Linked DNA regions of Stegostoma tigrinum. The protein of the gene in region 1 purifies or fractionates together with the protein of each later gene. This does not show direct contact. Links are inferred from orthologs where the notes say so. Each region holds a gene or a part of one and is shown on either strand. Other genes may lie near its edges.

Region 1 (15,601 bases):
GTAGAAAATTCCGAAGATTTGCAAACTTCTTAAATGAAAGAAATTCTCATCTCAGTCCAAAAGGGCAATTTCTTTATCCTGATATAACGTTCCCTCTTTTTCACAGGCTCTCAGCATTTACCCTGTCAAGCCCCCTCAGGATTTTACATGCTTTAATTGGATCAATTCTCATTCTTCTAAATCTGAAGAGATTTAATTTCATCCGATTTGATCTCTGCATAGATCAACCCCATCATTCCACAAATCACTCTGGTGATCTTTCTCTGAGACAAATAAACATTTTACAGTTTGTGCCTTCAACTATGTTATAAATATAGCTAACAAATAATGTTTTTATTCTTACTCCTTGATTACTATCCTGAATATCCTATATCCATGCTAAAAACATCTCCAAAACTTTTAGCGTGTGCAATAATACCTTTCGCGTAATACCTTATTAAACAGCTTTTGAAAATTCAAATATACCATTTCCATTGTTTTCCTTTCATTTACCCTTCCAGTTAAGTCCTCAAAGATTTCTGATAGATTTGTCAAACATGATTTTTTTAAAGTAAACCATGTTGATTCTGTCTAATCAATTTTCTACATTATATCCTTAATATATTGAGAGAGATCAAACTAACTGACTTGTGATTTCCAATTTTCTCTCTCTCTCTCTCTCTATACTCTCCATTCTTGAATAGATGCGCTACATTTGCTATCTTCCAATTAATAGGGCTTTTACAGAACTAAGCAATTTTGGAAGATGACAGCTAATGCACTTACTACTTCAGACTTTTTTTGATTCCTAGGATTTGGGCATCGAGAGATTTGTCAGTTTTCGGTTTCATAAATTTCTCCTATATCTTCTGTGTTACGGATATAATTAAATTCCTCATTCTAACTGGACTGTTGATTCAGTTTTTTTGTGTCTTCTGCTGTGAAGAAAACAAAATATTTATTTTATATCTCTACCATTCCCATGATAATTTCTCCTATCTCAGGCTCCATCTTCACTTTTTTTCAATGCTGTTCCTCTTTACAAGTTGTGGAGGTTCTGACAATTTTTTTTGAAACTCAAATCATAGAGGTCTAGGGCAAGGAAAAAGACTTTGCGATCAAATCAACCTCCGAACTATTTTAATCCCATTTTCCAGCATTTGACCCATATGCCTTTGCAGTGCAAGTGCATATCTAAATACTAGTTAGATGTTATGAGGCATTTCTGCCTCTAACACCTTCATAGGCAGAGTTCCAGATTCCCACCAGCCCTTGAAGGAAGTTTTCCTCCTAGCTCTTACCTTAAACCTATGTCCCCAGGTCCTTGATCATCTCCCAAGGCAAAATGTTCATTTCCATCTACTCTGTGTCAATACTCTGACTTGTGCATCTGAATCATGTCTCCGCCCCTGCCTCCTTCTCCACAACGCTCTTTGCTCCAAGTAAAATAACACCAGTCTACCTAATCTCTCTCCGTAAATAAAACACTACAGCCCATGCAACGTCCTGGTAAATCTCTGCACTCACCAGTGCAATCACATCCATCCTATAATGTGGATTCCAGAATTGCACAGTAGTCCAGCTGTGGTTTAATCTACTTTTTATACAGTTCCAGCGTAACCTCTCTGCTCTTAAACTCTCTGCCTTGGCTAATAAAGGCATAAATTCCATATGCCTTGCTAATCACTTTATCTACCTCTCCTACTACATTTAAAGGACCGGTGGATATGCACATCAAGGCTCCTCTAATCCTCAGGCTTCTCGGGGTCCCACCATTCATCCCATATTGCCCTACCTAAGAGTATGACCTCACTGATCCAGACTGAACTCCATTTGCTACTCACCGGCCCATCTATATCCTCCTATAATTGAAGACTGTTGTCCTTACTCTTTTACCACTCCACTAATTTTCATATTATCCATGAACGTACTGATCAACCCTCCTGCATTTGAATTTCAACCATTTCTCTATGCCTCAAACAGCAAAGGCCCCAACACTGATCCCTGCAACACCCAACAAGCTTCTGTCAACCATCACTAAAATAAAACAAAAAACTGCAGATGTTGGAGATCCTAAAACAAGAACAATTGCAGTGATCTGGCAGCATCTGTGGAGAGAAAAGTGAGTTAACGCTTAGAGTCCAGTGACTCTACATCAGTTTTGCCAGGCCTGCCAAGCTTATCTCTTGCTCCCTTTTGAATACTGATGCCACAAATGAGAGGAACTGAAAATTATTACCAATGCCACTACTATTTCCTTCCTTGCTTCATTGAACAGCCTGGGATACATTTCTGCTGGTGCTGGAGATCAATTTACTTTTAAGTATGCCAGACCATTCAGAACCACCTCTCTGTCTCTGCTTCCCTGATTTCTAAATCCAATCTGTCCTTTGGCCCCATGCACAAATTAGCATTGTGGACCTCTGAGCCCTAGTCTTTCCCTAATTCTTTTTACCTTAATGTACTTGTGAAATAACTTTACCCACCATTACTTCATGCCCTCCTTTTGCTTTTGCTCTTCTGCTTTAAGTTTCACCTTGCATGTTCTGAACTCCCCACAGCTTGTGCTTTTCTGAGACCTCAGTATCTAGCATAAGCCTCCCTTTTTCTCTTTATCACTTGATATATCAGATTTGCTGGAATTGTTGGTGCCACTCCTTGTCTTTATTGGCACGTGTTGGTCCTGTACTCTCCCTATTTCCTACTGGAATGTATCCCACTGACAGACATTTACCTGAAAGTATCTGCCCCACTCTACTCTGACCAAATCATACCTGGTCTTATTAAAATCAGCAGCACCCCCCACCCCCCCAACAATTGAGAACGCTAACTTCAAGTCCATCCTTGTCCTTCTCCATAAAAATCTTGAATCTAACATAGTTATGATCGCTGTCTGCAACATGCTTAGCCAATAATATTTTATCCACTTACCCAGCTTTGTCACTGCCTCTTGGAGGGGCCATCTCCGTACTGTCTCAGAAGCTATCCTGGCTGGATTTTAAGAGTTCTGCACTTCCACACTGACTAGAACACCTGCAGTGTAAAAGTAAGCTATTTGGCCCATTGAGTCCACACCAACCCTCCAAAGAACATCCAATCCAGACCCCTTCCTACCCTTACACTAACTCACTTAGCCTGCACATCTCTGGGTGTTATGGGCAATTTAACATGGCCAACCCGCCTAATCTGCACATCTTTGGGTAGAAACCCACACAGACATGGGGAGAACATGCAAATTCCACACAGTCGCCAGAGCCTGGGATCGAACCTGGATCTGTGGTGCTGTGGGATAGTTGTGCTAACCACTGGGCCATCATGCTGCCCCAGTTAATGTTGGGGTAGTTGAAATCTCCTATCGTTCCCTTATACTTTTATGAAATGTGCCTACATCTGCTGTTCTACTTCTCTCCGACTATGAGGGGGGCCTATCGTACACACCCAGCAATGTGATTGTTTTTTTTTAAAAAGGTTTACCACATATGGCTTCATTTAAGGAGCCTTCAAAGATACTACACTCATTCCTGCTGTAATTGATTGCTTGATCAATATGCAACACCTCCTCTTTTACCTCCTTCTACCCTCTATCGTGGAATATTGAGCTGCACTCCTGCCTCTCTGTTAACCATGACAGCATCGTCCTATGTTTTAGTTTGTGTCCACAACTTAACTTTCCCAGAGGTGCTGAAATGTGATTTGGGTTTAACCACTAACCTTTATCAACTAATCCAGTTTCCCCACATCTCTCTGTCAATCCTTGCTTGAATCTGAGCTCCGACAGGTGCTGAAGCAGAATTTAATCTTTCTAAATGTGACTGTGAAGTAGTCCTTGGGGGTAATAATTAACGATCCAGAATTCATTTTTCATTTATGCTGACAGATCTTTCAATTTTGTGTTTTTCTGAAATGATGAATTAATAAGGGAGTGAAGTTGTACATCAGAAAGGAGGACAATATTATTGATTATTCCCATAATGGATAAAGACAGACAATAATGGCTTCAAGTTTATTTTCCCCAATGGAGCTGTTTGTAACTTTTGATAAGCCAGATATCTATTTACCATGTGTGGATATTCAGATCATATGAGGAGGTAATTTACGAAGTTGGCTCATGAAAACATTGAGCAAGAGGCAGTTAGCTTCTCAATTGGACCACCGTAGTCTGGAGAATCTAGAAATGCTGACAGTTGTTGGTTTGCCATGAGAATGGTCTGTTCATTCCTACACAGACTGCACTGGGAGTTTGAGAATGTATCGGATTGCCTGCTTTGCTCCGAAACCAAATCACTAACCAGGTTGTGACCGGCTCAGCATCTCTTTTTATTATAGTTTACCTTACCTTTACAATACTGAGGATATTGGTATTTTGTTTTGTTTTGTTTCATGCTCAAAAACCTGTTCATCAGGGCAACTTGGAAACAATGATCTTTTGAACAGGAGATCAGTTCATTTCTATAGACTTGGTGATAGCAACTAACTGAATTACAAACAAAAACAGAAATTGCTGGGAAAATTCAGCAGGTCTGGCAACATCAGTGGAGAGAAATCAGCGTTAACGTTTCGGGTCCTGTGACCCTTCTTCAAAACCTTCTGTTCCAGCAGTTGTAGTTAGTTTTTTAATTTGACGGAATTACAATATGGTCATATCTGCACTTTTCTAAGCACAAAACAAACTGAAGTCTTTACAGCCAGAAGTATACTAGATCGGAATTCATAGCCCAGGACTATGCGCTGAGGGATGACTAAAAATTGGGGCAGCTGGCCCAAGGGAAAAGATCACTGTCTAAAGTTTGTCAACTAGGGTTCAGAAAGGGACTGGATCCTAGGTAAAAACCCCTTTGCTTATATCTCTGACATAATGAATTTTTCAAATATTAACTGTAATTTTTAGTGATATTGGAAGAAAACAATTTAGTACCTTGTTTAATGTCAACTTTGGTCATGTAAAAAACTTCAAATTTTATGAATAAAGTATATTTTGAGAAAAATATCTGGAACTGGGGGCCACAGTCTCAGCAGAGATTGCACATTTGGGATCAAGACATAAAGAACTTTTTATTATCAATTCGAGGGTCATAAATCTTTGAAGTTTTGAGGTTTCTCAGTCATTGAGTATATCTTAGTCAAAAGTTGATAGATTTTTGGATTCTAAGGGAATTGAGGAATGTGGGGATAGCGTGAGAAAGTGAAGCTGTGGTAGAAAGTCAGCCATGATATTGTTAAATGGCAGAACAGGCTTCAATGGCTTTATTATTTAATTCTGCTCTAATTTCTAATTTTTTTTAAGAAAATACCAAATCAAAATCACTCCAACACTTTGGCAAGCAGTCCCAAACTTCTCTCTAATATTGTTATGGGATCTGATGGCAAGGAATGTTTATTGCACAGCCATCATTATTCACAATCCTGGGAGTTGTCAGGTCACAACATCTAATATTGTCATCATTTAAGCTAAGACACCCTGAAGATCATAAAGTAGCATCAGATTATTATGAACATGAGGGGAAATTAAGGTTAAACCAGGAAAGCTGAGTATTTACATGGAACTAAGCATGTTTGGTGAGAAAATCCTTTGGTTGCTACCTCTTTCTCCATGAAGCCTCTTTTCTGACACACTTTCCTCAGACCAGGACCACTTGTCTCCTTTGGTTATTGTGATTCCTTACTTTTGACACCTTTTGCTGGCGGCCTCATTACGTTACAAGCAATGTTTTGCTTGTTCCTTTTTTTAGCCTCCAAAAAGTAAACCTTTTAAGCTTCTAAAATCAAAAGGATTTTAAATAGTGAATGGAGCTTGTTACAACAGCTCCAATCAGGAAAAAGAGTAGGCCATTCAGCCATTCACCACCTTGAGCTTGCTCCACTGTTCACTGATATCATCTGCACATTCTTGCCCATCCCAAATAACACTTTACCGCTTTGCTGAACAAAAGTCCAGCTCTCCCTCTAAATATTCAAAAACTTTGCTTTTCAATCTTTTGAGAATCTTCGCTTTTTGTCTCATTTCTGTTTTAAATTGATAACCCCTGACTTTTAAAGTGCGATTCCAAGTTCTTGAAATTCACATAAAAAGAAACCTCCTCTCCACATCTACCCCGGCAAGATCTTACATATTTCAATTAAAGTGCCTCTACTGGATACAACCCTAAGCTGTTCAACCTTTCCTCACTTGGCAAACCACCTATTCCTAGTCATAACCTTGTCTGAACTGCCTCCAATGCATTTCTATCCTTCCTAAATAAGTTGACCAATACCGTACACAGTACTCCACGTGTAGTCTCACTGGTGTCCTGTATTACTAAAGCATAATCTCCACACTTTCTATCCAATACTGTTTGCAATAAATAACAATACTCTGCTAGCTTTCCTAATTACTTTCTGTATGTGCACACTTATCTTTTGCAACTCATGATCAACGACACACAAATTCCACAAAACTTTACAATCTCTCACCATTTCAATTTCAAGCTTTTCTTTGTTCTTCCTGCCAAAATGGACACATGCACATTTTCCACTTATGAAGAAATTAGTCTTGTTTCACCCAATTATCATCACATAATCCTCATTATCGTAGAATCCCTACAGTGTGAAGGTCCCACCAACTGTCCAAACAGCATCCCACCCAGACGCATCCCTCCCCAACCCTGTGACCCTGCATTTCCCATGGCCAATCCAGCTAACCTGCATATCTTTGGATTGTGGGAGGAAACCCCCACAGACATAGCAAGAATATACAAACTCCACACAGACAGTCACCTAAGGCTGGAATTGGATGCAGGTCCCTTGTGCAGTGAGGCAGCAGTGCTAACCAGTGAGCCACCGTCCTGCCCCAATTGTTGTAAAAGATACGTTGTCAATCTTGAAGAAATCTTACTCCTAACATTTGTAGTCCCAGGGGTCATAAATGTATGAATTGATTTTACTTGTGTGTGGATCTGGCATCAATATCTGAAGTCAGGCAGGATGAGGCACTCCACTCCCGCACATCCCAGATGTCCCCGTTCTTCAAGGACTGCAGCCTTCTCCCCGCAGTGGTCAAGAACGCCCTTGACCGCGTCTCCTGCATTTCCCGCAACACATCCCTCACACCCCGCCTCCCCGCAACAACCGCCCTAAGAGGATCCCCCTCGTCCTCACATACCGGATACAACGCATCATCCTCCTACACTTCCGCCATCTACAATCCAACCCCACCACCCAAGACGTTTTTCCATCGCCACCCTTGTCTGCTTTCCAGAGAGACCACTCTCTCCGTGACTCCTTGATCTGCTCCACACTCCCCTCCAACCCCACCACACCCGGCACCTTCCCCTGCAACCGCAGAAAGTGCTACACTTGTCCCCACATCTCCTCCCTTACCCCCATCCCAGGTCACAAGATGACTTTCCATATTAAGCAGATGTTCACCTGCACATCTTGGGGGGCGCTTTGCAGAACACCTCTGCTCGGTTCGCAATAAATAACTGCACCTCCCAGTTGTGAACCATTTTAACTCCCCCTCCCATTCCTCAGACAACATGTCCACCATGGGCCTCCTGCAGTGCCACAATGATGCCACCTGAAGGTTGCAGGAACAGCAACTCCTATTCCACATTGATACCATTGGGCAGCAGGGTTCCCATGTGGGCTTCACAAGCTTCAAAATCTCCCCCTCCCCCACTGCATCCCAAAACCAGCCCAGCTTGTCCCCTCCTCCCTAACCTGTTCTTCCTCTCACCTATCCCCTCCTCCCACCTCAAGCCGCACCTCCATTTCCTACCTACTAACCTCATCCCGCCTCTTTGACCAGTCCATCTTCCCTACTGACCTATCCCCTCCCTACCTCCCCACCTATACTCTCCTCTCCACCTATCTTTTCTCTCCATCTTCGGTCTGCCTCCCCCTCTCTTCCTATTTATTTCAGAACCCTCTCCCTCTCCCCCTTTTCTTATGAATCGTGTAGGCCCGAAATGTCAGCTTTTGTGCTCCTAAGATACTGCTTGACCTGCTGTGTTCATCCAGCTCCACACTTTGTTATCACTTAATCCCTACTGCCCTGCCCTGTGCCCTATCTCCTGCATAAAAGAGCAACTTTTTCCCAGCCACCATCAGTTCTGAGGAAGGGTCACTGGACCCAAAACGTTAACTCTGACTTCCCTCCACAGAGGCTGCCAGACCTGAGTTTTTTCAGAAATTACTACTTTTGTCCCTGAACATACAAACATAAGAACCAGGAGCATGAAAGTAGGTCACCTGGACCTTTGTGTGTGCTCTGCCATTCAATAAGATCGTGGCTGATCTTTTTGTGGCCTCAGCTCCACTTACCCGCCCTCTCACCATAACCTGTAAACCCTTTCCCGTTCAAAAACTTAACTATCTTAGTTTTGAAAAACATTCAATGAGGAAGCCTCAACTACTTCACAAGGCAGGAAATTCCATAGCTTCACCACCCTTTGGGTGAAAAAGATCCTCCTCAAATCAGTCCTAAATCCGCTTCCTTAAAGTCCTGCTGTTCTAGTTTCATCTGCCACCGGAAACATGCTCCCTGCTTCAATCTTATCTCTTCCCTTCATAATTTTATATTTCTATAAAGATTTCCACCCCCCACCCCCATTCTTCTAAATTCTAATGAAAAAATCCCTGTCTGCTCAGTCTCTCCTCATAAGCCAACCCTCTCAACTCCAGAATTGACCAACTTTAAGTACATTGAAGTCGTCGTTGGACAAGCATATGGACGTACAAGGAACAATGTAGGTTAGATGGCTTCAGATCGGTATGACAGGTCAGCACAACATCAAGGGCTGAAGGGCCTGTACTGTGCTGTTATGTTCTATGACCTACTGACTCTCCTTTGCACCCACTCCGGTGCCAGTATAGCCTTTCTCAAGTAAGGAGACGAAAACTACATGCAGTATGCAGGTGTGGCCTCACCAGCTCCATGTACAGCTGTAACGTAACGTCCCTGTTTTTAAATGTAATCCCTCTAGCAATGAAGGGCAAAATTCCATTTCCCTTCTGAATTACCTGTTGTACCTTCAAATCAACCTTCTGCGATAAGACCGGACAGGTGCAGGTTCCCTGTTCCTTCTGGTGGTTGTTATCTAGTTCCTGATTTTCCTATGTGAGCCTTTCTCTGTTCTGATGGCCTGGGCAATGAATTTGTGGTGGTTGACAGCTTGAGGCCTGCACGACTGTAATGTGCTTATTGGGCAAGCTAATTTTGTAAATGTCCTTCGCCTTAGGTTTTTGAAGTGAAGACCCTTTTTATAAAAAAAAAGATGCTTTGCCGATTGTTTCTTGGCTGAAACCGAACCAACCACGCGCCTTTTGGCCTGAAGGACAGGGTCCCCAGTTGGAAGGTGCCTGCCCCCTAGTGGCCGCCAGCGGTCTGGCACCCGGTCGTTGTGACGTCAGCACCGTGCGACGTAGGCCGTTTCGGATCCACGACTGCTGAGGTCAGAGGTCAGCCATGCAGCGGTTTGCGGTAGCCGGTGGACGGTCGTTGGTCCGTGTGTCCGCCTGTCGCCTGCCGTTGGCCTCGGGCAAGCGCTTACGGGAGGATGGCAGCACTGGGAGGCTGCTCCCTACGTGCTGTCATCACCGCGGTTTCAGGTCTGCTGACCGGAGCCTGGCTTATGTCAAGGAACTGATTCTGGGGAAAATCAACCAGGTTTGTGGCCGGGGCGGGGAAGGGCTTGGGAGGGGGACGAAGGGTTCGAAGAGAGTGGTTACGGGGAGCCTAGGCAGGGGTTCGGGAGGCAGAGGGGCCTGCGATGCATGGAGGTTTCGGGGGGCATGGGTGGGGAGGGCAGAGGCGGGGTTGGAGGTGAGGGGAGACTGGGTGGGTAAGAAGGGAAGGTGGATGGTTGGGAGGAGAGGATACGTGAGAGAATGAGAAGAGGGTGGGGGAGGGTTGGGGAAAAGGGCCCTAGTAAATTAAAAAGACGAGGAGACGACTGTGGAAAGATGGGGAAGAAATGGCGAAGGTCTGGGCCACAACGTAGTTTGGAAGACAATAGAGGGAAAAGAGACATGAGGATGGAGTGACGACCTAGCTGTCGGGCTCTTCCATACTCAGGCCTTCTAGTTCTGAGTCAAAACAGTTATGTCCTTGAGCTAACAAATATTTGTCAAATTGACGCTTCATTGAATTCATTTTGTAAGATGTTGCTGTATTGTTTGATGCAGGCATTTGATGTTAATTTACCTTTCAAGGTCTCTTGGACAGCCTGTTTAAAAACAAAAGGTGTACTATTGCTAAGCTCAACATAGGTGTGGCATGTAACAATGTTTACTGGTGAATTTCTACCAAATTGTGATAAGTATGCCTAAATTCACTCGGTTGTGCATTTCAGTTCTTAAAAACATGTGTAGTAGAATAAGTGCTACTGACTTTTAAAATGTGAATTTTCTATCTTCATGAGAGGATTAGAATGCAGAAGTGAGAGTCAGTATTGCAGCTGTTTTTCTTTAAGATTATGTATATTTATTTTATCTGAATACCCGGTCAGAGTTCTTGGACATTGGTCAGCCACTAGCAGGTTATTGCATATGAAAATACAAAGCATATATATTAGGGCCTCTTGAACCTACTTCATCATTTAACTAGATCATCGTTTTACTTTTCTGTCTACTCCATAACATTTGACTTCGTTAAGAAATAATCTGTTTAACCTGGCCTGAAAGTGCAATGTATCCACTGCTGTCTAAGATCAGACTCCTTATGACTATTGATGTCAGTGCTTTACAGTCAATAAAGTACCATTTTTGAACTGTAATCATTCTTGTAATATCGGACACGTAGCTAATTTCTAATTGCAAACACCCCCACACCCCCCCCCCCCAAAAAAGCAGTGTGATTATATTGAGTTTTTTCAGTGATGTTGAATAAGGGATTAAATATTCACCAGGACACTGGGAAACTGACCTATGATTTGATTTAGTGCCATAAACACTTTTACATCCAGCTGTTCTGTCTGGTTCGTTTTCGGAGACCCTCACGGACTTGATGCAATAACAAGACACTGACCTGTTTAGAAAAACACAAATCCTTTTATTACCAAGCAAGTACAAGCTGTGGAGAATCACTGTACTTAACCCGGCACAGAGTGCAGAGTTTCACAAGTAATTCTCCCCGAGCAGTGGACAGTCCCCACTTTTTATACTTTATTAAGTACATAATACATAAAACAATTTCACATCTCACAATGACATGATACATGAAACAATTATTACAACAGACAAAGACAGGATACCAAACAATTATTACATCAAGAACATAAAAGACCGGGATATAGTATCAATTGTTGGTGAAGTGGCTGCTAATGGCAGGAGGCGATTTCAAATTGTTATCAGGACAGATTGTGATTTCAAGTTGCTGGTGTGTCTGGCTACAACAAAGTCAGTGCCCTGGCCCCTTTGTCAGCGACAGAAGTTACATGCTTCAGAAGTCTCTCACCATTACAAATGTTCCTCACTTAACCTTATTTGAGACAGTTTAATTCTAATTTTATTCAGTCAGGAAGCTTAAGACAGTGTCTGCATACTGACGCGAGGGAAGACAAGGAGTTACAAAGTCTTACAATGAATTCCTAGCTGGGCAGGAAACTTCAGGGCAGTGCCTGCACACCTATGTGTAGGCAGATAAAAGACATTAATTTATAAAAGTATAGAAATCAATGGGATTTTATTCCATTAACATCTCAGTTATACCATGTCATTTAATGCCTCATCCAAAAAATCCACAAGACAATGGTCCCTTACAATTGGCACTGAATTGCAAATTCAGAGAGCTGGTGCAGATACAAAGGGCTAAACTGCTGTCTCCTTCACTGTTACAGTTCTTTGAACACTTGATTTATGAATGGTGTCCCAGAATTGGAAAATCCAATTGGTTCTCTGTTTACAGAAATGGGAAGTGAAGAGAAACCAAGAACTTATACAAGATAACAAGGTGTAGTGCTGGATGAACACAGAAGACCAAGCAACATCAGAGGAGCAGGAAAGCTGACGTTTCAGGTCTGGACCGTTCTTCAGACCCTTCATTTCTGCAGAAAGGTCCAGACCCGAAACGTCAGCTTTCTGCTCCTCTGATGCTGCTTGGCCTGCTGTGTTCATCCAGCGCTACACCTTGTTATCTCAGATTCTCCAGCATTGGCAGATCCTACTATCCAAGAACTTATAGATCCATTATTGCATTTTGAAAAGACATGGCTAGAACCTAGGTAGCCCCTTACAAAAACTTCTGCCCCGTAAGTGTGTTTGATATTAGGACATCATACAGTGCTTCACAGGCAAAGATGTAGTTTTGAAATGTAGTCACTGTTGCAACAGAGGATATAGCAAACACTTTGCAAAATCAATGTAATAGCTGAATCATAAGGAATTAACAGTAACTTAAAGGCCATACCATCTATCTTAAGGATATTGGTTGAGGGATAACTGTTTGCCCAGGAAACCAGAAGTATTTCTCTGCTCCTAAGATAGCACTGTGGGATCTGGTAGCTATATATTGACCTTTGACATAGTAAACATTGGAAAGTGCTTCACAAGAGTTTTATTAAACAAGATATAATAAATTACGAGATTCAAGATTACCTAGTGCTTGGTGGTTGAGATTTCACAGAATTTCTTAAAGGAGGGAAAAGAGTATCACAAATGGGGAAGTTTGGAGAGGGAATTTCAATGCTTAAGAGTCTTAACAACTGAAGTCACTGCTTTGACAAGAATCCGTGAAATTATGAGGCACTGGAATTGGAAGAGCACAGGTATCTGAATGTTGTTGAGGAGAATGTAGTGTAGGAAGAGGCAAGGCCTTGAATATCAGAATGAGTTTTCCAACTGGGGCTTTGCTAATCTAACAGTTGGTGGGGGTCAGCAAGCGTGTGTAATGAATGAATGGGGCCTTGTTGTGGGTTAGAATACAGGCAATACTATTTGAAATTTATGGATGATGGAAGAGGAGAGGCCAACAAGGAATGCATTGGGACAGTCCAGTCCCAAGATAATGATGACGTAGATGAAGGTTTTAGCAGCAGGGCAGCTGAAGCACTGGCATAGTTGTCCAATGTTTAGATTTAGAAATAGCCAGTCTTTGTAATAGTTTGAGTATGTGGTTGAAAGCTCATGTTTGCATCAAATGCTGTACTAGGGTTGTGAACACTACAGCATTGCACTGAAATCTCATACTTGATTATTTATTCTTTGCGCTGACCTTTAGTTCCCGGTCTTCTGACTCTGAAATGAAAGGGATACAATTGAAGAAGGAGAAAAAAACCTGGTTTAAATTGGTTAATAAAAAAGATTATGTATTATAAAGAATCTCAGGTTATACACTTTTTTCCAGAAAGAAGTTTTTCCTTATCCAGAGATCAGTAATGAAGAATTGGAAGAGATTAATCAACTTGTTGTACCTGTGGAAAAATTTTTCAATGACGATGGTATGTTGTTTTGCCTAATATTAGTTGCGTAAATTTTCGTGATAGTTAAGATTGACTTTGGTTTATTTTCTCACTCTTTATTAAATTTTTGATACTTCTAAAACTTTCCAAATTTGCTGCCTTACCACTAATCTTTGCCACGTTATATGTTTATTTTTTTCAATTTGAAACTGTCCTTAACTTCCTTGGCTTATCCTCTTCTCCTCCAGGTATATCTTTGCACCATGAGCAATTGTCTCAAGTATCTGCTGTTGTTCATCAACTGTCTTTTCTGCTGAACTCCTTTCCCAAAATTTTCCAACGAACTCTACTGTCATTTCTTTGTAATGACATTTATTAAAGTTTAGCATAGTTGTTTCCAATCCAAATTTCTCACTGTCAAAGTGAATGCTAAACTCTACCATGTTATGAGACCATAAGACATAGGAGCAGAAATTAGGCCATTCAGCCCCTTGAGTCTGCTTGCCATTCAATCATGGCTGATAAGTTCCTCAACCCCGTTCTCCTGCTTCCCACCCTTGACCCTTGATCCTGTTAATAATCAAGAACCTATCTATCTCAGTCTTAAATGTACTCAATGACCTGGCCTCCACAGCCTTTTGTGGCAGTGAATTCCAGAGATTCCGCGCACTCTGGTTGAAGAAGTTTCTCCTTATCTCCATTCTAAAAGGTCTTCCCTTTACTCTAAGGCTGTACCCTCAGGTCCTAGCATCTTCCCAACATCCACTCTGTGCAGACCATTCAATATTCTATAAGTTGAAATTCGATCAAAGGAAGATGGTTTCAGTTATTGTCAGTCATCACAGTCCCCGCCTACTTCATCAATGAGCTTCCCTTCTTCGTAATGTCAGAAATGGGGATGTTTGCCAATGATAACACAGTGTAGTGCATGATTCGTGATTTCTCAGAAACTGAGAAATCCCATGTTCAAATGCCTTAAGATACAAGCTTTGACAAGTGGCATTTACCGTTTGTTCTGCACAAGTGCCCAGTAACGATCATCAACAGCAAGAGATAACCTAGCTGTGGCCCCTTGGCATTCAATCACATTACAGTCACTGAATCCCCCACTATCAACATCCAGGGGGTTATCATTGACCAGAAACTGAACTGGATTAGCCAAATAAATATAATGGCTACAAGAGCAAGTCAAAGGTTAGGAATCCTGTAGCAGGTAATTTGCATTGTGATTGTCAAGCCATGTAAGGCACAAGTCCAGAGTGTGATGAATACTCCCCATTAACCTCGATGAGTGCAGCTCCAACAACACTGAAGATGCTTGACATTGGAACAAAGCAGCCAGCTTGTTTGACACCACATCCACCTAAGCATTCACTTGCTCCATCACCAGTGCTCAAGTAGCAATAATGTTTGCCATTTCTCAGAACAATTGCAGAAATTTACCAAGGCTCCTCGGACAGGACGTTCCAAACCCATCAGCTCTCCCCATTTAGAAGAGCAAAGGCAGCAGATATTTGGGAACACCATGACCGATAAGTTCTTCTCCAAGCCATTCACCACCTGATTTGGAAAAATGTTGTCATTGTCGTGGGTTAGAATCCTGAAATTCCTTCCTTGACAGCACTGTCAGTATGCCCACATCAACTGCTGTTGTGACATTGATTACCTCAACCTCTCTACGCCTCTCACTCCTCCCACTCCTCCAACCTGTACCCTAAGAACGTGCAGCCGTCTGCTCCAACCCTGACCTCACTATCAAACCTGGTGACAGGGAGACGCAGTTGTGGTATCGCGCACTGAACTTTAAATCGCCGGGGCCAGGCCCCAACACTCTCCAACACCTGCTCCTACCGCCCCCTTGATCATGACCCACCCAAACATCATCTCCCAGATCATCCATAACCTCATCACCTCAGGTGACCTCCGATCCACAGCCTCCAACCTCTTCGCTCCCCAATCCTGCATCTCCCAATTCTATCTCCTTCTCAAAAATCATAAACCCAACTGCCCTGGCTGACCAATTGTCTCTGCCTGCTCCTAACCCACCTAACTTAGCTCCGCTTACCTCGACTCTGTTTTCTCACCCCGGCCCAGGAACTCCCCACCTAGGTTCAAGTAATCACCCGTGCCCTCCACTTCCTCCAAAACTTCCGATTCCCTGGCCCCCAATACCTCATCTTCACAATGGATGTCCAGGCCCTTGTGTTCCCCTTCACACTGCTTAAAAGCTCTCCACTTCTACCTCT
Region 2 (15,950 bases), on another chromosome or scaffold:
ACAGTACAAAATATTAACCCCTCCTGACACAAAAGCAGAGTCATGCTATCACTGGTAATGGTGACATAGTAATGTCACTGGAGCAATAATCCAGAGACATAGGTAAATGTTTTTGGGACACGGGTTCAAAATGGCAATTAATGTGATTTAAATTCAATTCTAGATTTCTAGATGAGATACTCTCATGGATAATGCCCATTATTGTAAAAAAGAACAATCCAGTTCACTAGGTCCTTTAGGAAGGGACCTTAGTGCCTATCCTATCTAAATGAGAGATAAGGCCTACATGTGACTCCAGATCCACAATGTAGTTCACTCTTAATTGCCCTTTCAAATGATCCAGAGCCACTCAGGTCAAGTGCTGAACTTTCCAGTGATGCCCAAATCCTGTGAAAGACTAAATCCTTGAAAGGTTAAAAGGTACATGATAGCAAAACTGGGGAAAACTTGCTTTTCATAGATCAAATGTACGTGTGAGCCTAAAACCAGGAAGTACATCTGCTCAGTGAGACGGATTCGGGTTTTCTCACGTGATTATGTACCTCTTAGCTCGTTATTTATGCATGATGTCAGTACAGTTGAAGTGAAGTATTTTTACTGTCCCCCACTCCTGTACGTATTATGGGTAATTTTTAATTCTATTTTCTTAGACGATGGTATGTTTCACCAAATCCTGTTTATGAAGTTCGATTCAGAATGATTCACAGAAAATCATCTAGGGTTAAATAATGGTTTATTGCTCCCATCAAAACCCAGGGCAATGGTCTGTCTCACACAGTCAGTCACACATTCATCCACAAATGAAAGAAAAGGGAAAGATGTTAAAAATTATAAGTAGCTATCACTCCACAGAAATGCCAGACAATGACCAACTCCCACAAGGGAGAATCTAACTATTGCCCCTTGAAATTCAAAAGCACTACGATTACTAAAAACCCCCTATCAACATCCTGAGGTTACCTCTGATCAGACATTGAACTGGATCATCTATAAAAATATGGTGACTACAAGAGCAAGTCACAGGCTGGAAAATTTCGCTGTAATTAATTCATCCCTAACTTCACAAAGTACCTCCACAAGGTACAATTCAGGAAGATAATGTAATACTCCCCACATCTCAAGGGCAACCTGGGCCAAGCAGTAAATGCTGGCCAGCCAGCAACATCATGCCCCACAAATGAATAACCGTAACGTTGCCTGATGACTGCAGATCCAACAACATTCAAGAAGCTTAACGCCACCGAGGACAAAGCAGCCCATTTCATTGGCACTACGTGCATTCCTTCCAACACTGATACTCATACTGTGCATGCAGTCTATGAGCCGCAATGCAGAAATTCTTTCAAACCTAGATGTTTTGCACACAGTGAAAGAATATTCCATCAAAAGGGAATGCTAGGACAAACAACTCCAAAGCTCCCTAGATGACAAGGTAGACAGAAAGTAAGTTAGAGAAGATTTTGTGTGTTTACAACATGTGTCGGGTAGAAAATAAAACTGAGAACCAAACTGAATATAGAACGTTCACAGCAGGGGTGAAACGGTAAATAAAAGAAGCATCGAGGGTTATGAGAAAAGACTAACAATAAGGTAAATCCCAAAGTCTTTTATATCAGTCATACAAGAATGTTAAAAGGAGGAGTTGGGATGATGAAGGCCCATAAAGGGGAGTCATACATGGAGGCGAGAAGCATAGCTGGGGTATTCAATGAATATTTTAAGTCTGTCTTTACCTATGAGGCACATGCTGCCCACATTCTTGTGACAGAGAAGGGTTTAAAAATGATTTTAATTTCAAAAATGTACTTTATTCATAAAAATCTTAATACACATTGTCACTGAAGCAGTTCGGTTTTGTACAGTCTTTGCTTATGGAAAAATGAAAATTCAAGTCTGATTTTCCCCAACAGTTCCCACAAATAAACCCAAGGCATTTCTAACTTATGCAAGATACTATTTACATATACTTAGGACAGCAAGAGGGTACAATAGTTGCACCGACTCCTGTTGAACTTTTGCTGAAAGATCTTAGATGGTGATTTCTCTCCACTGCATCTTAGCGACAGCTACCCCAAACTTTAGTGATCAGAGATAATGTGAACTGTAGAAGCTGGAGAATCCGAGATAACAAAGTGTGAAGCTGGATGAACACAGCAGGCCCAGCAGCTTCTCAGGAGCACAAAAGCTGATGAAGGGTCTAGGCTCGAAACGTCAGCTTTTGTGCTCCTGAGATGCTGCTGGGCCTGCTGTGTTCATCCAGCCTCACACTTTGTTACCAAGCTTTAGTGTGTCCCTCAGCATGTAGTCCTGGACTTTTGAATGTGCCAGTCTGCCACACTCGGTTGATGTCAACTCCTTGCACTGGAAAATCACCATGTTTCGGGCAGACCAAAGAGCATCCTTCACAGAGTTGATGGCCCTCCAGATGCAGTCAATGTTTGTCACTGCGTGCCTCCTGGGGAACAGACCATAGGGTGTGACTCCTGCATCACAGAGTTGCTTAGGACGAATCATGACAGAAAGAACTACTTCTCTCCAGACATCCTTTGCAAAGACACATTCTAGCAGGAGATGTGGGCAGTCTTTACCCAACACCTCCTCCCCCAAAGGCAGTGTGCAGTGATGCAGACTGACCAGGTGTGCATGAAGGATCTCAAAGGTAATGGCATTCTTGCCACCAGCCAAGCAATGCCTTGATTTTGCTTTTGGAAAGTTCTGGTGATTAGGCATTCTGCAAAAGACTTTGACAATCTGCTCAGGGAGCCACCCGTCAGAGTCTATCCTCTCCTTTTCTCTGAAGACTCTGCATGCTGACCACTTCCTATTGGTCTTTCGGTGAAAGGTGTTTTTCTTTGCAAATTTCTCCATGTGATACAGAACAGTCCAACTACTTGCAGCGTTCCACAGCTCCAAGGCCAGTCCCATCCTTCGCAACACCGGGGACAAGTAGAAGCTCAGTATGCAGTGACACTTGGTGTTTATGTCCTGAGTGTATATGCATAGCTTGATGCAGCCAAACACAAAGGTGACCATCAGGATGCAAGCGGCATTGGGAATATTCTTCACTTCCTTATCCAGAGATTCGTACATAGTGACCCTGCAGACACAGTCCATCTTACACTTCCAGATGAAGTAGAAGATGGCTTGGGTGGCTGGAATGGCACAGGTTCTGGGGATGGACCAGACATGCACCATGTACAACACCAGCAGTACCTTGTACCTGACGACCAGGGTTTTACCCACAATGGAGAGGGGATAAGGTTTAAAATTGATAAGGAAGAGTCAAATTTCACAAGAAGTTTGTATTCACTTGAACTTGGAGGTTTAGGTCTACTCTGCCAGTGACATATGCTGTGTTTCTCTAGCACTTTCTGTTTTCACAAACAAGATATATATATTTAGGATAACAAGGTGTAGAGCTGGATGAACACAGCAGGCCAAGCAGCATCAGAGGAGCAGGAAAGTTGATGTTTTGGGTCTAGACCCAGGTCTACCCCAAAGCATCAGCTTTCCTGCTCCTCTGATGCTGCTTGGCCTGCTGTGTTCATCCAGCTCTACACCTTGTTACCTCAGATTCTCCAGCATCTGTAGTTCCTAGTATCTCTCTCTCTATATATATATATTTAGGTTTGTGAGCGCACACGTTTCTTGTTTTTGCCTAACAAGCCTGTACTTGCGAACATTCCAGGGGCTAGGGATAACACAGCGTGGAGCTGGAGGAACACGGCAGGCCAGGCAGCATCAGAGGAGCAGGAAAGCTGAAGTTTCAGGTCAGGACTCTTCTTCAGAAATTCCAGGAGCTTGTAGTGTTGGTGAGTATTCATAACACACGAACAAATGCAAAAGATGTTCCCAATAGGTCAGGAAAGTTGATTTGCCTGGAAGATTCTGAGAATTTCATAGAAAAACTTTAAGCTGCTATGGGGAAACTGGATTCTTCCCTCCTGACCAATTAGATTTTCCCACCTGCCCTTCTCATGCTCTGGGTATCCTGCAGGGCAAGAAGATTCCACATTTGATTTTTCAGTGTCAATACAAGTGTAGAGCCCCACTAAGCAATATAAACATCTCAAACATTTTTCCACAAGACAATTTACATAATTTTCCTCAAGTTTGGTGAAGTTTATTTTAAATAAAATTCCACCTTTCAAAGGCGATGTTTACATTGCTAGCAGTGTAAATGTTGGATGAATGTTATGACTTGCAAGAAGGCGAACATTATGGATTAAATTTTGAGCCCAGGATGTACCTGGGGATTTTGTCCAAGTGAAATGTGTTTTCACACAATATGTAGATCCATTTTTATTTTTACTCAGACCTGTGCATGAGAGAAAGGAAACGTGATCCATTCTTTCATAAACTCTCACACCATTGTATCTCCTCCACTGTCCTCATATTCTCCACTCCTGCCCAAATCCATCCCTTTTCAAACCTTGTATAATCCTATACTAAAATAAAATCAAGAAACTACAGAGGTTGGAAATCAGAAAAAGAAACAGAAATTGCTGGGAGGTAAAAAATAACCGGTCAGGCAGCATCTATGGAGAGAAAGCAGAGTTAACATTTCGGGTCCAGTGACCCTGCCTCAGAACGTTTTTGTTTGTGTACAATAATCCTATTCCCTCTTGCTCCAGTCCTCTGCCCCTCAACTCTCCTAATATTTCTCCTCACTTGCTCTTTTCTCCCATTTCCATTTCACTTCCCACTCTCTCCCTCCCTTCTTTACTCTCATTCCCTCCTCTACCATTCAGACGCTCCCTTACCCACTCTCATTTCCTGCTTCCACGCCCCATTCATTCCGATCTCCCTCCTACCTCTCACTTCTTTATCCTTCACTCCATACTTTACCCTTTTCTCATCCCCTCCTTTACCCATCACTGCCTTTTTCAACTCTCCCTTCCACCATCCCTTCATCCTTTCTGACTCCCTCCTTCCTCAATCCGCCCTTCCTTCCATCCCTTTCTCCTCCCTCTCCCAAACCCCCCTCCCTTCACCCGACAGGTGACAAGGCGGTGCACATGCGCATGTGCGCACCGTAGGGAAAGACTACAACTACCAGGATGCTCCGCGCGGCACGCTTGCGCAGTGTCTCGGTCTGGGCCCGAAGCCTCTGTGTTGATGCTGCCGGAGTTTTCCGGCAATTTTCTGTTTTCCCTCGGCTGGCAGCGGGATTGAGGTTTCGGACACTGCTTGCTGCATTCTCTCCCCCACCCTCGGTAGGTACATTTGAACCGGTGCCGTGTGCGAGGGTCAGCGCAAGGGGAACCAATGTCAGCGGGAGAACTGCATTCTTGTAGCGCCGTAAAGCCGCTTTTTCACTGAAACGAAGCAAAAAGGTGGTGGAGAAACCCAGCAGCACTGGTCGCATCTGCAAAGAAATTAAAAACAAGAGTTAATGATTCGAGTCTATCAGAAGTGAAATGATTCACTGCGGAGATAGTAGGAACTGCACATGCTGGAGAATCTGAGATAACAAGGTGTAGAGCTGGATGAACACAGCAGGCCAAGCAGCATCAGAGGAGCAGGAAGGGTGACATTTCGGGCCTAAATCCTTCATCAGAAATCTCTGCTGGAGCAGCTCAGCAAGTCTGACAGCATCTGTGAAGGAAACCACAGAGTTAAAGTTTCAGGTCTAGTGACCCTTCCTCAGAACTAATGGTGGCTGGGAAAACATCAGTTTATATGCAGAAAATAGGGAGGTGGTTGGGGTAGGGAGTAAACAATAAGATAGAGTCCAAAGACAGAAAGACAGTTGGATAAAGGAGTTGCTAATGATCAGGCTGGGAGGGTGACTAATTGTTAATGGGGACTGTTAGTGACTAACAATCGAGGGTGTGTAGTGGCAGGCTCTGTGGTAACAAGGCCTGGTGTGTGGGGTGGGGGGCCTGGGACATGGGGGAGCTTAGGCCCTAAAATTATTGAACTCCATATCAAGTCCAGAGGGCTGTAGGGTCCCCAAGTAGAAAATGAGGTGTTGTTCCTCCGGTTTGCGTTGGGCTTTCACTGGAACACTGTAGCAAGCTGGAAACAGAGGTGTTGGCCAGGGAGCAGAGTGGTGCGTTAAAGTGGCAGGCAATAGGTGGTTCAGGGTCTTTTTTTGCGAGCAGAGTGTAAAATGTTCTGCAAAGCGGTCACCAAATCTATGCTTTGTTTTCCCAATGTAGAGGAGACCACACTCTGAGCAGCAAATGCAGTAGGCTAGATTCTGGGAAGTGTAAGTGAGGTGTTGCTTCATCTGGAAGGTATGTTTGGATTCTTGGATACTGGGGTGGGAGGAGGTAAATGGGCAGGTGTTGTACCTTCATTGGTTACAGGGGAAGGTGCTGTGAGGAGTCTTGGGGTGAAGGAAGTGTGGACCAGGGTGACCTGGAGGGAATGGTCCCTGTGGAATGCAGACAAGGGAGGGGAGGGGAATATGTCTCTGGTGGTGACATCTTGCTGGAGGTGGTGTCTGACAATCTTCTGGATGTGGATGCTTGGTGGGATGGAGGGTGAGGATAAGGGGAACCCTATCGCTGTTGTAGGAGGGAAGAGAAGGGGTGAGGGCAGAAGTGTGGGAGATGGGTTGGACCTGGTTGAGGGCCCTGTTGACAATGGAGCTGGGGAATTCTTGATTGAGGAAGAGGGTGGACATTTCGGAGGTTCCCTTATCGAAGTTGACCTCATTTGAACATATGTGACAGAGATGGAGTAACTGAGAGAATGGGATGGAGCTTTTACACGAAGTGAGGTGTGAGGATGTACCGTCGAGGTAGCTGTGGGAGTCAGTGGGTTTGTAGTGGATATTAGTGGTTAGTCTATCCCCGGAAATGGAAACAAAAATGTCAAGGAAGGGAATGGAGGAGTCAGAGATAGACCAGGTGAAAGTGAGGGCAGGGTGGAAATTGGAGGTGAAATTGATGAAGTTTTCCAATTCCAAACAAGAGTGGCAAGCAGCACCGATGATATCATCGATGTATTGGAGAAAGAGTTGTGGGTGGGGGCCAGAATAGGACTGGAACAAGGAAGGTTCCATCTTCCCCACGAAGAGACAGGCATAACTAGGGCCCATGCAGGTACCCATAGCAACCTCTCTTACCCGAAGAAAATGAGAAGAGACGTTGCTGAGTGAGAGGACAAGCTCAGCCAAGCTGAGGAGGGTGGTGGTGGGTGGGGTTGGTTCAGGTCTTTGCTCCAGGAAGCAGCAGAGAGCTCTAAGACCCTCCAGGTGGGGAGTGGATGTGTAAAGGGATTGCACATGCGTGGCAAAGAGTAGGTGGCTGGAACCAGTAAACTGGAAGTTGTGAAACTGGTGTAAGGCGTCAGATTAATCATGGATGTATGTGGGTAGGGATTGGACCTGGGGGAGAGGACTGAGTCAGGGTAGGAAGAGATGAGTTCTGTGGGGCAGGAGCAGGCTGAAACAATATGTCTGCCCGGACAGTCCTGTTTGTGGATTTTTGGCAGGAGGTAGAAACCAGCTGTACGGGGTTGGGGGGGACTATTAGCTTGGAAGCGGAGGTGGGAGATCCCTGGATGAATTGACATCAGTTACCCTCCCAGCCAGATCATTAGCAACTCCTTTGTCTGTCCAACTGTCTTTCTCTTTGGGCTCTATCCTACTGTTCACTCCCTACTCCACCCACCTCCCTATTTTCTGCATATAAACTGACGTTTTCCCAGCCACCATCAGTTCTGAGGAAGGGTGACCGGACCCAAAACATTAACTTTGTGGTTTCCTTCACAGATGGTGCCAGACCTGCTGAGATTTTCCAGCGACTTTTTTTGTTACAGTCATAGACCTGTACAGCATGGAAACAAACTCTTTGGTCCAACTCATCCATGCTGATCATATATCCTAAATTAATCTAGTCCCATTGCCAGCATTTGGCCCATATCCCTCTAAACCCTTCCTATTCACATACTCATCCAGATGCCTTTTAAATGTTGTAATTGTATCAGACTCCTCCACTTCTGTGGTAGCTCATGCACAACCCTCTGTGTGGAAAAGGTTCCTCCTTAGGTCACTTTTAAATCTTTTCCCCTCTCTTATCTTAAACCTATTCCCTCTAGTTTTGGACTCCCTTGGGGAAAGACCTTAGCTATTCACCCTCCTTGCCCCTCATGATTTTATAATCAGCAGTAAGGTCACCCCCTCAGCTTCTAATGCTCCAGAGGAAATAGCCCTGCATGTACAGCCTCTCCCTCTCGTTCACATCCTCAAACCTGGCCACATCCTTGTAAATCTTTTCTGAACCCTTTCAAATTTCACAAAATCATTCCTGTAGCAGGGAGACCAGTTTTAAATGCAGTACTCCAAAAGTGGCCTAACCAATGTACTGTACAGTCGCAACATGACCTCCCAATTTCTATACTCGAACTGAACAAAAGAGGCAAGCATACCAAATGCCGCCTTCACTATCATGTCTACCTGCAACTCCAAGATCTTTGCTCAGCAGCGTTCCTCAGGATCGTACCAATAAGTGTCTAAGTCCTGCCCTGATTTTTCTTTCCAAAATGCAGCACCTCATGTTTATTTAAATTAAACTCCATTTGCAATTCCTTGGCCCATTGGCCCACCTGATCAAGGTAACCTTCTGCACTGTCAGCTACAGCACCAGTTTTAGTATGGTGGACTGAATGGTCTCCTGCTATGCAAATAAACTTTCTATGATTCTCTAAAAGTCTAGACTACCCTCGGGCCAGCCTGATAAATGCCCAGTAATGTTTGTGCTGGGGAATGATCATTCCCAAGAGGAGAAAATCTAATCATCTGCCCTTGACAGTTACCATTGCTGAATCCCCCATAATCAATAACGTTGTACTATTGACTGGTCCAGTTATATTTCTGGTCATGTGAATACTATAACTACAAGAGCAGGTCAGAATCTGGGAATTCAAATATCACCATCTGTGCGGCACAAAACAGGAGTTTTTTTTGTTCTTGGGATATGGGTGCTTCTTGTTAAGCCAGCATTTATTGCTCATTCCTAATAGCCCTGGGGAAGGTGAAGTTCAGCTGCCTTCTTGAACCGCTATGGTCTGTGGAATGTAGAGATATCCACAATGTTACAGGTAGTCTTTGATTAAAATTATTGAAAGACACTTGGATAAGTACATAAATAAGAAAGGTTTGGAGGGATGTGGAGCAGGAGCAGGCAGATGGGACTAGTTTATTTTGGAATCATGTTTGGCGTGGACTTGTTGGACTGAAGAATCTGTTTCCTTGCTGTATGTCTGTAAGATCAGTACTGTCCAAGACAAAGCAGCCTACTAGATTGGCACCTTGTCCACCACCTTAAACATTCATCCCCTCTACCACAATGTACGCTTCCTTCCACAAGATCCATTTCAGTACCTTTCAACAACACCTTCCAAATCTGTAACTTTGTCAACCAACAGAACAAGGACATATGGGAATATGATTCTTTCAAATATTCTTCCAAATTACATACTAACTTGGAGCTATATTGTTGTTCATCTGTTAACAAATAAGAATAGTTCAGATTCTGTCCACAATAGCGTTGTGGATGTGCCTTCACCACACTGACTGCAGCATATCAAGAAGGCAACTCGTCACCAAATTCTTAAAGACAATTAGGGAAGTGCATAAATACTGACCCAGCCAATAAGAATACAAGAAATATAAGAATGCAAGAAATAGGAGCAGTTGTGGAGGCCATTTGCCTCCACACCTGCTCCATCATTCAGTAAGGTCATGGTTGAAATGATTGTGGTGGCAATTCTGTTCTTCCTTGTTCAGAGAGTAATAGTAATAATACTAATATAATGTTGGCCTTTGTTTCAAAGAGAAAGGAATAAGGATATGAAAAGGAATTTTTGCCTGGAGCATAGTGAATCTGATTTTTGTTTTAATCCAGAGAATCCCTGTGCTGTGGGAACAGGCCTTTCGGCCCAATGTGTCCACATCAACTCTCCCACCCAGACCCACCCGCTTACCTTTACCCTGCATTTCCCGTGGCTAACCTACAGATCCTTAACACTATGGATAACCTAGTATGGCCAATCCACCTAATGCGTGTCTTTGGATTCTGGGAGGAAACCAGTGCATCTACCGAAAACCCACACAGATACAGAGGGAGCGTGCAAACTCTACACACAGTTGCCCAAGGATGGAATCGACCCCAGGTCCCTGGCGCAGTGTGGTAGCAGCAGTACCCACTGAGCCACCAGGGCTCAAGGCTGTAGAGGCTGTGCCATTAATTTACATTCAGGCTGAGAATAGACAGATTTTTAATCAATAAAGGAATCAAGAATTGTGGGGATAAGGTAAGATAGCATTGAGAATTCTTGGATCAGCAATGATTTCATTGAATGGCCTGCCTCTGCTCCTTTGTCCAGTGGTAAGAAGGCATCACTATAAGGAAAGTAGCAAAATAACAAAGGGAGCCATGAGAATGTTTTTACACTGAAGTTCTTATGATCTAGAATGCACTGAATGCAATAATGATGTATGTAGATCAAATGGTAATCATTAATAGGGATGTGATAAATAGTTGAAGAGGAGAAAACATGCAGGGCAGAGGGATGTGCAGGATAGTTCTCTGAAGGAGCTGCTGCAGGCCCAGTGGACTGACTGGCTTCCCTCTGCGCTTGAAATTTCTGTATTTTTGACACCATGTAACTGATGATATTCTGAATTTGTTTATCATTTTTTTGAAGGTGAAAGTATGACATAATTAAATAATATTTTCCATATATAATTATCAGTTTTAATTTCCTATCAATAATAAACGATATGCAGTCAAAGCAGTAGGAGCAACTATGTTCTAATGAAGATCATGAGTACTGTGTGAAGAATAAACCTTTTACAGTACGCTTGTCTGATTTAGAAACTTGATGTTACTATTAGCAAGCTAATTTGTAGTGTATTATGTTCGCATTCCCTTTTACAATTGTAATTATTGTTTCTGATTTATCCTAACTTATTTTTGTAATTAATATCTCCGTTCCCTGCACTCCTCACCGATTTAGAGGTGAGAATGATCTGCTCAGATAATCTTACAGTGCGGTCTCCTGTAGAGGAGGTTGAATTGGTGTCACCAGTGGATGCTAGTTGTTTGAGCTATAAATAGGCTCTAAGTAGGCTGGTTGGCGTGAAAACTTAGTTAATTCTTCTGTTGACTTTTAGTGAAATGATACAGGATGAAAGATGAAGAAAGAGGAACATTGGGGACTCTCTCACTAGACTGCAGGCTGACACCAATGTCATGGAATTACCAGACGGCAGGAATTCTGCAGATCTGTCAGAACATCTCTTTCAGAAGACTGTTTCACTTCCCTCAAGTGTTTGCAGCAGATCTTGGAGGGCAGGATGGGAAGCTTCCTGCATGTATCGGCAGACCCCAGGTCCCTGAAACAGGGTGGGACAGAATCCAGGAGCTATTTGTTCGCAAGTATGAATTCACCCAGTTTTTTGTGGACTAAGCTTGATAAAAGTCATATCAGGAAGATGTGACGAGGAGGCAATAATTGTGGAACAAACTAAATGCATATTTTTGAGAATGGTACAAGAAAGAACTGTTTAGAAAAGAAAATAACAGGCAGTCTCAAACGTTTTTGAGTTTTATGCAAAATAAAGCCTTATCTACCATTCTCTCAGCCAGTGTTCTTAAGGTTTGCTGCCATTGTGTATTGTCCTTCGTCATCCTGCTTATTCTGTTCATTGTTCCAGTCAGTTTAGACTTTTTTTGTGCCTTGTCTTGTGCAGTTTTCATTTATATACACTGCCTTTTCATTTTCACTCTTTCATGTCACCTAGAAAGACTGACTTGTCTTCACTTGACTTGTGTCCAGATCATCATAGTTTTTCTTGATTTTTGGTGTATTGCCTCTGGATTCCAGCTTTAGTCAACACACTCAGGAAGGTTTTAAGGTCTGTAAAGGTACAAAATGGATCTAGGGGTGAGAGAATTTAGCTAACCCCAAACTGCAATTATTCTCCTTCAAGTAAAGATGATTGAGAGAGATTTGGTATGTAAGATTGTGACAGGTTTGAATAAGGAGGACAAGTGTTCAAATTGGCTGTTTGTATAAAAGTAAAATGGTCCTAGTCCTACCAGAGCTCTGTTATTGGTGGGGGTTGGGGGGTGGAGCAGAGAGAGAAATGACAGGTGGTGTTTTAACTGAGGGTCATTATGCCTTAGGCGAGGGAAGAGGTTGAGAGGAGAATCTTTCATAGTAACCTCAGCTGGTGTGGACATTGAACCCATCCTGTTATAAAAGACTAAGTTCAATTAGTTTTTTTGGCAAATGGTGAGGGGAGAATGAACTTTTCTACATACCAGACTACCTGAACTCACGCTCACAAGGGTGGTAAATTGGAAACAATCACTAGAAATTAGACTAGAACAAAGGAAATAAACCAGAAAGGTTGTGGGGATCAAGCTGGCAGATGAGGCTGTGAATTGCTGTACAGGGAGCTAGCATGGATTTGATAGGCCGAGTGATCTTTTTACTATAAATTACTCTACTGGTATCCTTGCAGTGAAATATGCAGTGCTGAAGTATGTCATTCAGCCCACACCAGACAGGCTACAAGAGTGGGGATTGGGAAAGTATAATATTGGTGTTTGAAGAATCTTTGCTGAAGTACATTGTCTAAATAGGGTAGAAGGAAATTTATACCACATCCAATGACCTGGTGCTTGATGTGGAAGTTGGCAGCTTAAAATATAGAAATACTGACCATACGAACATAGATTTACAGTCTGAGTGGAAGTCATTCAGGTTATCATGTCTGTGATATCTGCAAAAGAGCTATCCAGTCTTATCCAACCTTCCAACTTCAGGTCTGTCAGTTAGAGTACATAAGCTGCATGTCCTTTTTGTTTTTAAAGTGAGGCTCTGAGATCTAGTTCCCAGCACCACCTGAGTGGAAAACGTATCTCTTTAACTGCCCTCTAATTCTTTGTCCAATTACTTTAAATCCCTCATACTTTAAATCCTTTAAATCGACAACCTCATTCTTTAAATTCCATAATTTCATGGTGTATGGAACTTGAGTATATACCAGGAAAAAAAATTAAATTGAAGTATTTTATCTTGCACCTTTCAGGACATTAAAGATAATACCAATATAAGGGGGGAACAAGAGTTTATATTGTCTAAGAGTGTGATGATGATTGGCAAGTGGTCTCTGATCGGTAGAGGTATTGCTGTAGAGAATGCATTAGTAGGCTGATGACTAACCATTAACTGCCAAGGTTTGTTTATATCTCCTTATATAGCCTCCATTGTTCAAAAGATAACAAATCCAATCTATCTGGGAAGTGCCTTTTCCGAGTCTTTACATCGCTCGATGTTTGTGTACTCTCTAGTATCACCACAGACCAAGGACCAGGTGATACTGGTGTTATATGATGCTGGTTGTTATCGTCATTATCAGCGGGGCCCTACTTATGATACTGGCAAATATATAAGGATTATGTCTCGGTGGAGAATCTTACCTCACCGTTTGCGGTTTTTGCTCACTTGTCACTGAAGAGTTGTAAGAGTTCGAGTGTCAGTGAAAGAGTGAGTCTTGAGGTCTTTTGGTCGAACGTGTCGTATCTCTCGATGCCAAGGAATTTCATGAGGCGGTTATTCATATCCAGCCACTTGCCTTGTGCGCCCATCACGAAGCCAAAGTATCTGGGCACCACACCTCCCGTCAATTCCATGACCTTGGCATTCAGGTGTTTATACTTTTCCTGTTTCTCTCGCCATGCTGTTTCCAGTGCTTTACTGTCATTCTTGTACCGCACTGTGACATCTACCACCGCGATCTTCTGGTCTTTTCTAAATATGAGATCGGGTTTCCATAGGGAGCCGTTTTTGTCAAACAGTCTGGGCTCCACGGCCGACGCCGACGGAACCCCGCCCACAGCTGACGACCTCATCGCCCCGCCCAAAATCTCCACAGCCAGCAATCCCAGAGAAGACAGCCACACTCGGCGCTGCCGTATCTTCACCATCCCCCCAGACCTTCCACTGACTGAGGACGAACGGTCAGTCCTCAGTAAGGGCTCACCTTTGTCTCCCTACAACCACACGTCAACGAATACCAGTCACGGTTGGACATAGAACAGTTTTTCTGCTGCCTTCGCCTCCACGCTTACTTCTTCAACCGGGAACCTAACCCTCCCTCCACTGACCCTTTCGCCCGCTTCCAACACACGTCCACCTCCTGGACACCACCTCCAGGCCTCCTACCTTCCCTCGACCTCTTCATCTCCAACTGCTGTCGAGATATCAACCGCCTCAACCTCTCCACCCCTCTCACCCACTCCAACCTCTCCCCCGCAGAACGGGCAGCCCTCCGCACCAACCCCAACCTCACCATCAAACCCGCAGACAAGGGTGGCGCAGTGGTAGTATGGCGCACTGACCTCTACATCGCCGAGGCCAAACGCCAACTTTCCAACACCACCACCTACCGCCCCCTCGATCATGACCCCACCCCCGAGCACCAAACCATCATCTCCACCATTCATGACCTCATCACCTCAGGAGACCTCCCACCCACAGCCTCCAACCTCATTGTTCCCCAACCCCGCACGGCCCGATTCTATCTCCTTCCCAAAATCCACAAACTTGCATGCCCTGGTCGACCCATTGTCTCAGCCTGTTCCTGCCCCACCAAACTCATCTCCACCTATCTGGACTCCATTTTCTCCCCTTTGGTCCAGGAACTCCCTACCTACGTCCGTGACACCACCCATGCCCTCCACCTCCTCCAGGACTTCCAATTCCCTGACCCCCAACACCTCATTTTCACCATGGACGTCCAATCCCTATACACCTGTATTCCGCATGCAGATGGCCTCAAGGCCCTCTGCTTCTTCCTGTCCTGTAGGCCCGACCTGTCCCCCTCCACCGACACCCTCATCCGCCTAGCCGAACTCGTCCTCGCCCTCAACTTCTCTTTCGATTCCTCCCACTTCCGACAAAGGGGGTGGCCATGGGTACCCGCGTGGGTCCCAGCTTTGCCTGCCTCTTTGTAGGTTACGTGGAACAGTCCCTCTTCCGCACCTACACAGGCCCCAAACCCCACCTCTTCCTCAGTTACATTGATGACTGTATCGGCGCCACCTCTTGCTCCCCAGAGGAGCTCGAACGGTTCATCCACTTCACCAACACCTTCCACCCCAACCTTCAGTTCACCTGGGCCATCTCCAGCACATCCCTCACCTTCCTGGACCCCTCAGTCTCCATCTCGGGCAACCAGCTTGTAACTGATGTCCATTTCAAGCCCACCGACTCCCACAGCTACCTAGAATACACCTCCTCCCACCCACCCTCCTGCAAAAATTCCATCCCCTATTCCCAATTCCTCTGCCTCCGCCGCATCTGCTCCCACGATGAGGCATTCCACTCCCGCACATCCCAGATGTCCAAGTTCTTCAAGGACTGCAACTTTCCCCCCACAGTGGTCGAGAACGCCCTTGACCGCATTTTCCGCAACACATCCCTCACACCCCGCCCCCGCCACAACCGTCCAAAGAGGATCCCCCTCGTTCTCACACACCACCCCACCAACCTCCGGATACAACGCATCATCCTCTGACATTTCCGCCATCTACAATCCGACCCCACCACCCAAGACATTTTTCCATCCCCACCCTTGTCTGCTTTCCGGAGAGACCGGTCTCTCCATGACTCCCTTGTTCACTCCACACTGCCCTGCCACCCCACCACACCCAGCACCTTCCCCTGCAACTGCAGGAAATGCTACATTTGCCCCCACACCTCCTCATTCTCCCCTATCCCAGGCCCCAAGATGACTTTCCATATTAAGCACAGGTTAACCTGCACATCTGCCAATGTGGTATACTGCATCCATTGTACCCGGTGTGGCTTCGTCTACATTGGGGAAACCAAGCGGAGGCTTGGGGACCACTTTGCAGAACACCTCCACTCGGTTCGCAATAAACAACTGCACCTCCCAGTTGCAAACCATTTCCACTCCC

Evidence for each region.
Region 2: the proteins of acad9 (region 1) and timmdc1 purify together in Homo sapiens (affinity purification with mass spectrometry; 3 studies listed by BioGRID and IntAct, counting the BioPlex papers as one, with this or other methods). This does not show direct contact. The link is inferred for Stegostoma tigrinum from reciprocal best matches to the Homo sapiens genes ACAD9 and TIMMDC1.

The regions. Positions count from the first base shown.
Region 1 is NC_081364.1:25,609,267-25,624,867, reverse strand, and holds the start of acad9 (complex I assembly factor ACAD9, mitochondrial), read left to right. Parts: upstream 1-9,388; 5' UTR 9,389-9,424; coding exon 9,425-9,625; intron 9,626-13,300; coding exon 13,301-13,394; intron 13,395-15,601. UniProt on the Homo sapiens protein: As part of the MCIA complex, primarily participates in the assembly of the mitochondrial complex I and therefore plays a role in oxidative phosphorylation.
Region 2 is NC_081372.1:5,681,518-5,697,467, reverse strand, and holds the start of timmdc1 (complex I assembly factor TIMMDC1, mitochondrial), read left to right. Parts: upstream 1-5,067; 5' UTR 5,068-5,216; intron 5,217-11,131; 5' UTR 11,132-11,145; coding exon 11,146-11,396; intron 11,397-15,950.